Oreochromis niloticus: one gene and its partner. The protein of the gene in region 1 purifies or fractionates together with the protein of each later gene. This does not show direct contact. Links are inferred from orthologs where the notes say so. Each region holds a gene or a part of one and is shown on either strand. Other genes may lie near its edges.

Region 1 (3,922 bases):
GTCTTGTTTACTTGCTTTTCCCTCTTTGCTGAGAAAGTTAAATAAGTGTGCTTCATATATTTAGAGTCAAACTGAGCTCTCTTTGCGTTAAGCAGCTTGTCAATAGCAAGAAAAGAGGCATGGAGCGAGAGAGGAGGCCTGATAAAACGGCTTTTAATTACCAGACAGTGAATGTTGGCCTTCCTCGTCCACTTTCCCCTCCCAGCTAAGTCAGGAGTTTGATTTCTGATAATGTGGATTGCTGACTGGGCTTCATCCTCGTTGTCCCTAAAGCAGAAGGATCTAACGTCACGTCCTGGGAGAGCACGTCTGACAAAGTGCCATATAGATCCTCTGCTTTTCATCAGAAGTCAGTGCTGGTCGAGGCATTAATCTGAGCGCTTGATGGCCTTGCTTGTGTTTCCCCTTTTGTATCCAGTTGCAATTAGGCGGAGTAATAATTTCAAGCATTGCATGGAAATCAGTGGGTCTTTAACCCAATAGTTGGTACAGGTGTAAGATCAGGAAGGATCAATGCAATGAACTTGTAACATCCCTCTGGGGGTGTTTTTTAAAGGTTCAAATACAGACAAGTAAATGAATATATGGTAGATTCAGTGTTTTACATTTCCTTTTCTTTTTAAATGAGATGGTAAACACTGATAGAGGAGTTCATCCTCAGGCCAATATGGGGTGGAGACATTTTTTGTAAGAGCCAATGAAACACAGCCTAGTGTAATGGTCGGCACAGCACACACACCACCACTGAAATTGTTTTCAACTGGCACATGTATTGTATAGCCAAATTTGAGCCATGGGCTTTAACAGCTTCTTATCATTACACAGAACCCAGGTGAACAGACTTAGGTATCAAGGCTGTGGGCAGAGCAATGTAAATGAACAACATAGAGACTTCACTTTACTCAGGGATCAATGTCTTTTTTCCGTGAACTGCAATCAGAGCTGTTTATAGAGTGGACAGAGCAGCTGCTCACTCATAGGGCCGTGATCAACAGAGGTTTTAAGAGCCCTTTTGTTTTACACTCAATTATATGCTAATGGCGAGTGCAGAGTGGAAACCTTTAAATACTAATGCTGTTTTAATGTCAAGTGAAAGAGGGAAAAAACACTTTTTAAAAGACAGGGGTGGTTTTCATCTCAACAGTAGTAGATTTCCGTGTAAGTGAGGGCCATTTACGAAACATTTACAATTGTGATCTAAGGTCATGTTTTTAAAGGAATATTTATCCATAATACCTCAGAAAGCTATTGTATTCTCACTATTGTACTCAACTTATCAACCTTGATCTCAGATCAGTGTTATCTACAGCAAAAGCGGTAATAATTCCTTTTCAGTGCAGAAACTTTCAAAAACTGTTTAAACCGTATGTATATTTCATTTTATAACATAGAAAAAAAAAAAAACCTAAGATCCATAAGAATAGCAGCGTTCTCTCAAACTTCGCCTATTAGAATTTGACAGATTGATATAGATAGTGTGCAAGTCTTTTATTTTGAAAAGGCCACGAGCGGATGTTGATTCGGAAGCGCTGTTGTAGCAGTTTCCTCAAAACTAGCTACACAGCTAAACACCTCCGTTAGTACAGTGTAAACTTTGTCTCGTGGAGCAGTGGTGTACACGTTCACACTTCGGGATAAGCCTTTCATACGGTTATGACTTGACTGTGGTGTCGGCGGCGACCGACCTCAAAACCTTTTTGTTTTTTTAAAAAGCTCCGCATCACTTAAATCAAGAATCCGGACAGAGCAGGATGCTAGCATGTGTCGTTAGCAAACTGCTGCAGGAAATTAGCTGGTTAGCTTCCACATCCAGTCAAGTATTATGAGGCTGAACCTTCCCTCTTATTGCTCTCACTGAGGTTAAATACTGACAGCGCAATGAACACCGAGGCTATAGTGATCCGTATAAAAACGCCGTCAGGAGACATGGACTCGTCCGTGGACTGTCCGTCTCTTCTGAACTTCAATGACTTGCTCGTGAGTCTGCCTCTTGCCAACTATCACTTTTCACTCATAGACACACTGCACAAGCCAAAAACACACGGACTGTTTCTGACTCCGCGTATCGTAACCCTGCCTCATTAATATCTGTCAGTCTAATAACCATCCTTAGCTGTCTGGTCCTAATTCAACCTGTCAAACATTACAGGTCGCAATCAGAGATGTCATGCCTGAAGCCACTGTCACGGCCTTTGAATGTAAGTACCTGCTTTAGAGTTGGACTGCTGTAATGCTGCAAGAGGAAATGGGAAGCTTTGAATGACTGTGTTTACACACCAAAACAATAGCCCTGTAATGTAGGGACTTGTAATCAGTTATCGGATTGGTCTGAAGGAGAGGAGATCTCATGCAGCTGTGTGGGACACTTGTTTATCCATCATATACTGTAAGCACCGATCCCTGCTGTCATGGGCTAGACTCTAGCCATCTTGAACTGGCTTCATCTATCTGAGAGAGTAAAAAGCTTCACACATTTCATTTTCATTGTGTTAGCTTCTCTCTTCTCTGTTCCCTTTTTTACTACCCGTGTTAACCTCTAGCCTGCGTTTTATCCAGAAATGCCATAGCTGCTGTACTAACGGACTGATTGACAGGAGCAGTTGAAGTTTCTCTCATTCAATCAAATTAAGATTTAGGGTCTTGGAATAGGCACCATTCAAGCCTGTTTATGGATAGAACATGCAAAGAGTTTGATTGACATACAAACATCAAAATAACGCTTACTGAGTGCTTTTATACGTTATATTTTATTGTATGATTTTGATTGTATGTTTTGGCTCCCCAAATTTTGCTATTGCATTAATACTTAATATGGAATGATATGCTTTCTTGTTTGCTTGCCTTTTTTTTTAATTAAATGTTTATTAAATACATAATAGTGTTGTTTTACAGTATCCTCTGTTTATATTTATATCACACTTGTTCTGTTTTGAATTTTCTCTGTGATTTCCCCCCTTCCCCATTATTAGTATTTTATTTTTTACAGTTGTACTATTTTTGTTTATGTGTTGTTTTTGTGTTTTTTGTTTTTTTAGATGAAGATGAGGTGGGAGACAGAATCACAGTAAGAAGTGATGAAGAACTCAAAGCCATGTTGTCATATGTGAGTACATAAATGTTGCATGCAGTACTTTGACCAAGTCAGGCAATAATACCCACAAATTACAATACTGTGCAAAAGTCTCGAGCAACCCTTGCTTCATCTTTATATTTTGTTTCCAACAAGCTGAACTTTGTAAGTCTTTAAAGTGCTCTTGAGCATAATTCTCTAGGCTATCTGAAGGTCAGGATATTGGCTGATTTTTATTTTTTACTCATTTTTAGTTCAGTCCTTCTACCTGACCATTTTCAGAGGACTGATGTTTGTTGTTTTGAGCTATTAGTCAAAAATCACATATCTCGGCAAGGTTTGTCAAGAAATCAGAAATGGAGAACAAAAGAAGATGTGGTAGGCCTAAAAATATTATCTACAGTAGATGAAAAGTATCTGAAAGCCCAAAGGAGTCATTAAGACATGGGAAAGCGAGGGTCAGATCAGCATGAAGAAAGGTAAAGCAAAAAAGAGACAGAGAATTTTTTTTAAAAAGGGTGGGAAAAAAAGACACAAAGGACAATAGGTCACCAACTGCTGCATCTGTAACAAAACCCATTCAACAAATAAACAGCACCTGATAGGGGATAGATACGCAAACGTACAGTCTTTCTGTGTGTATGTGAGTATGAGTTTTATTGTCTGTGTGATTGTTTGTGGTGTTCATGAAAGTTACATGATAATGAGTTTGAGAAACAAAAACAGCCACTGGTAGCCAGAGGTGACAACCTAAATTACACAAGATATGGACTGAAACTGTGTGGCAACAGGTCTTATGAAGTGATGAAGCTAAATTTGTTTAAAGTTGGTTGAGTTTAGGTTAAAGGTAGA
Region 2 (3,922 bases), on another chromosome or scaffold:
TAAGATGAGTTTGGACATCAAAAAGAGGAAGCAGTTGAAGGCAGAGATAATCACTGAATGGTGGAGGTTGAGGAAGGAAGAATGCTGTGCAGAGTTCAGGGAAGAGTTGAGGCCAGCTCTGGGTAATAGTGAAGAGTCATCAGATGACTGGGAAAGTACAGCTGTAGTGGTGAGGGAAACTGACAAGAATATATTTCATACTTAGTGTTGGAATGAAAAAATACAGGAAAGCATTCAAAGGAAGAAGTTAGCAAAGACAAGGTGGGATAGTAAGGGAAATAAAGAATGTAGACATGAGTACCGGTAAGCAAGGTCTACAGCAAAGGAAAAGGCTTATAGTGAGATGCACGTGAGAATGGACATTGAGAAAGGAGAAAAAGACTTGTTCTATCAGCTAGGCAGAGCCCTCGACCTTGAAAGGATGTGCAGCAGTTCAGGGTGATTAAGGATAGAGACAGAAATGTACTAACGAGTAAAGAGGGCTTGGAAGGTGGAAGGAGTACTTTGAGGAGCTGATTAATGTGAAAAATGAGTGGGTGAGGGAGGATGCATGAAGGACAGGAGGACAGTTGGTGAATCGGGAAGTGCAAGGGATTAGTAAGGAGAAAGTGAGGGTAGGTGTAGAGAGGATAAAGAGTGAAAAGTGGCTGGTATAGATGGTTTCTCTATACCTGTTGGAGATGAGCAGTGGACTTTTTACCCAGATTGTTTACCTTCACGATATTCAAGAGTGAGGGTGATGTGCAGAACTGCAGTACTTACAATAGATGAAGGTGAAAATAGATGGACATGTTTAGAGGAGGAATAATGATATAGAGGACACGGAATGCTGAAGATGGACCTAGTGGGCAGGAAGGAAAGAGGAAGACTACATAGAAGTTTAATAGATGTAGTGAAGAAGGACACACAGATGGATGATGATGATGTTAGGGATAGGATGAGATGGAGACAGGTGGTTCTCTGTGGCAATCAGAAGAAGATGTGGGGTTCCTATTTTTCATTAATTGAAGTCCTTTTAAATTAAATTCTTTAAGTCTCTATACTTTAAGGTATTATAACATATTAAGACTAAATAAATACAAAATTATTCTTTACCTTTACACTTCATTTTTGTTCTGACAAATTTAAAACGATGATGTTTTGAAGAGAAGTTACAGTGAGTCATTTATTTTATTTTATTTTATTTTATTTTATTTTATTTTATTTTAATCTAGTCGAAGGGAAAGGAACAGCACTCTTGTGTTCCGATTTCCGGCGTCGTCCTGTTGACGCAATGACGTGATGACGTCAAACGGAAATCTGTAGCTCCAATTCTTTCTAGAATTCTGTAGCACTCTCCAGCCCGCTGTCTTCAGGGAGGTTCATCTGAGTTTGTCTACATCTAACACAGCAAGAATCTCTTCTAAAGAAACAAATACGTATTTCTGCGCAGTGCGGCGATTTTGCGGTCTGTCCTCGTTTCAATCAAACTTGTTAGCTTCTCATAGCTCACGAACGTAGCCGAAGCCTATTGTAAGCTAACGGTGTTAGCTTTGGGGTCTTGGTGTCAGGATGTCCAGGATAGATTACAGCGTGTGGGACCACATTGAGGTGTCGGACGATGAGGATGACACCCATCCAAACATCGACACACCCAGCCTCTTCAGATGGAGACACCAGGTATACCAATAAGCCACGCATGATTACAATTAAGATGCTACACATAAAGTAAAAGTGGTGCATATTTGACTTGAACTGTTAGCTGACCTCGTGTGTTTACTTTGGTGCTGTGTTCACTTTTAACATAAATATAGGAATGTTTAACTTTTTGCAACTAAGTCCATATTTGACAAAAACAAGTAGTAAAGATTTTATGTTTTGACCTCAGGCTCGTGTGGAGCGGATGGAGGAATTTCAGAAGAAAGGTGAAGAACTAAACAAGGGACTGTCCGAGTGCAGACGCAAGCTGGCAGACACACAGAAGAAAATCAAGGAGCTGACCATTTCAACGTCAGAAGATGCCAAAGCAGAGTTGAGCAAAGTTCAGGCTGAGGAGAAGAAACTGAAAAAAGAGGAACGGGATTGGGAGAGAAAGGTGGGAGACTACCAACGGGAGGAGAAGAAGATGCCATGGAATGTAGACACGCTCAGCAAGGATGGGTTCAGCAAGGTGAGGTAGAGTAAGTGGAGCTTAAAAAGCACTACAGGTTTTACATCGCACATCATTTATTACACTCTTTTTTTTCTTTTTTTTTTTGTCAAGTATTTTCAGGAAAACAAAAGCTAACAAAACTGTTGTGTCTTTTCTCCGTATTTCTTCTTTTAACTTGTGCAATTGTTTGTTTGAGCCTGACATCCAAGGGAAAAATTGGCCAAAAACATGATCACCACATGTCCCCCACAACAGAGCCATTAGATCCCCTCAAAAGTTCAACACCTTGTTCACCTTGCTTTATCATCCATTCTACTCCTATACCACTGTGCCCATCTGTCCTGCCTTAGAATAAAATGTGTGAAAGGACATGGTACTTCAGATGTGGCTTCAGCTGCCATCACCTGCACTGATCCTTGGCTCAAAGCTGGAAGTATCACCAGTTACTTAAGAGTAGACGTTAGACTGAGGGAAATAGGAAAGGGCACACATACAGAGTCGACTTTTCTGTTTCAACATTTACAGTTGATTTAGAGTTCTGTGTTGAGTCTTTGCAGATCCTACAAAGCAACCTCCACAAGGATCCAATACTCTCGCCAGCATTCATGCTTGTGCGTAGTGTTAATTACCTGATAGATTCAGCAAGTATTAAAAAAAAAGTAGCCAGAAATGCAGAGGAGGAATTGACAGTACTGAACAAGCCAATACAACTGTTGTTGTTACGACATACCTACAGTGTAGATTCAATGCAGAAGTCTACATCTACTGTCAGTCTTTGACTTTGTAACACAATGAAATCTTTTCTTGCAATTTTCAGGTATGGGTTCATTAATATTAACATCTCTAACTTGTATGCAATGACATTCTTTCTGTAGAACTCAGAGACATTGTCTTTAATGAGTCCATTCTTCCACTGTTCTTTTCATAGAGTATTGTTAATGTCAAACCTGAAACTGAAGAGACCGAAGAAGAGAAGGAGCAAAAGCACAAAACATTTGTGGAGAAATATGAGAAAGAGATCAAACATTTCGGTAAGCACTCGCATGCATCATTATTTACTCTCGTTATAAGGTACTGGTGAGAGTAGAGATGCTTCTTCATTACTCTCGTTACTGCAGGCATGTTGCGGCGTTGGGATGACAGCCAGAAGTACCTCTCTGACCATCCTCATCTGGTATGCGAAGAGACTGCCAACTACCTGGTTATCATGTGCATCGACCTTGAAGTTGAGGAGGTAAGTAATACAAACAGAGCTTGTTTGTCATGAATTCCTTCTGCACGTGACCATACTGCATCTAAATATTAAGCTGTAAAAATGCTTCTTCCTTGTGCAGAAACACGCATTGATGGAGCAAGTGGCTCATCAGACCATCGTCATGCAGTTCATTCTGGAGCTTGCCAAAAGCCTCAAAGTTGACCCCCGTGGATGCTTTCGCCAGTTTTTTGCAAAGATTAAAGTAACTATGTTTTTGTTGCTTTTATTTAACTTGGTAGCTATAGTATAACTTTTGAAAAAGTTTCCAGAGTGTGATTTATTGATTTGGTTTAGTTTTTGTTGTTTGAAAATGTTTAGTTTTAGTTTAGCTTCTATTAGTTTTAGTCTTTTTAATTATTATTGTATGGAAAGTAAATGTCAGAGTCAAGGTTTAGGAGAATCAGTACAGGCACTGCAATTTGGATTTGGACCTTATAACTTATTCAGTGACCTAAATATGGGGTGGAGTTCAGAGACCTGGTATTAAATTGAGCTCAAGGCTAAATTATTAAAGATGATGGCATTGGCATGGTTTG

The links.
Region 2: the proteins of map2k5 (region 1) and hsp90 co-chaperone Cdc37 purify together in Homo sapiens (affinity purification with mass spectrometry; 3 studies listed by BioGRID and IntAct, with this or other methods). This does not show direct contact. The link is inferred for Oreochromis niloticus from reciprocal best matches to the Homo sapiens genes MAP2K5 and CDC37.

The regions. Positions count from the first base shown.
Region 1 is NC_031965.2:12,301,740-12,305,661, reverse strand, and holds the start of map2k5 (dual specificity mitogen-activated protein kinase kinase 5), read left to right. Parts: upstream 1-1,504; 5' UTR 1,505-1,878; coding exon 1,879-1,977; intron 1,978-2,149; coding exon 2,150-2,198; intron 2,199-3,035; coding exon 3,036-3,103; intron 3,104-3,922. UniProt on the Homo sapiens protein: Acts as a scaffold for the formation of a ternary MAP3K2/MAP3K3-MAP3K5-MAPK7 signaling complex.
Region 2 is NC_031969.2:24,156,609-24,160,530, forward strand, and holds the start of hsp90 co-chaperone Cdc37, read left to right. Parts: upstream 1-1,317; 5' UTR 1,318-1,551; coding exon 1,552-1,659; intron 1,660-1,867; coding exon 1,868-2,149; intron 2,150-3,059; coding exon 3,060-3,162; intron 3,163-3,249; coding exon 3,250-3,365; intron 3,366-3,465; coding exon 3,466-3,588; intron 3,589-3,922. UniProt on the Homo sapiens protein: Co-chaperone that binds to numerous kinases and promotes their interaction with the Hsp90 complex, resulting in stabilization and promotion of their activity. Inhibits HSP90AA1 ATPase activity.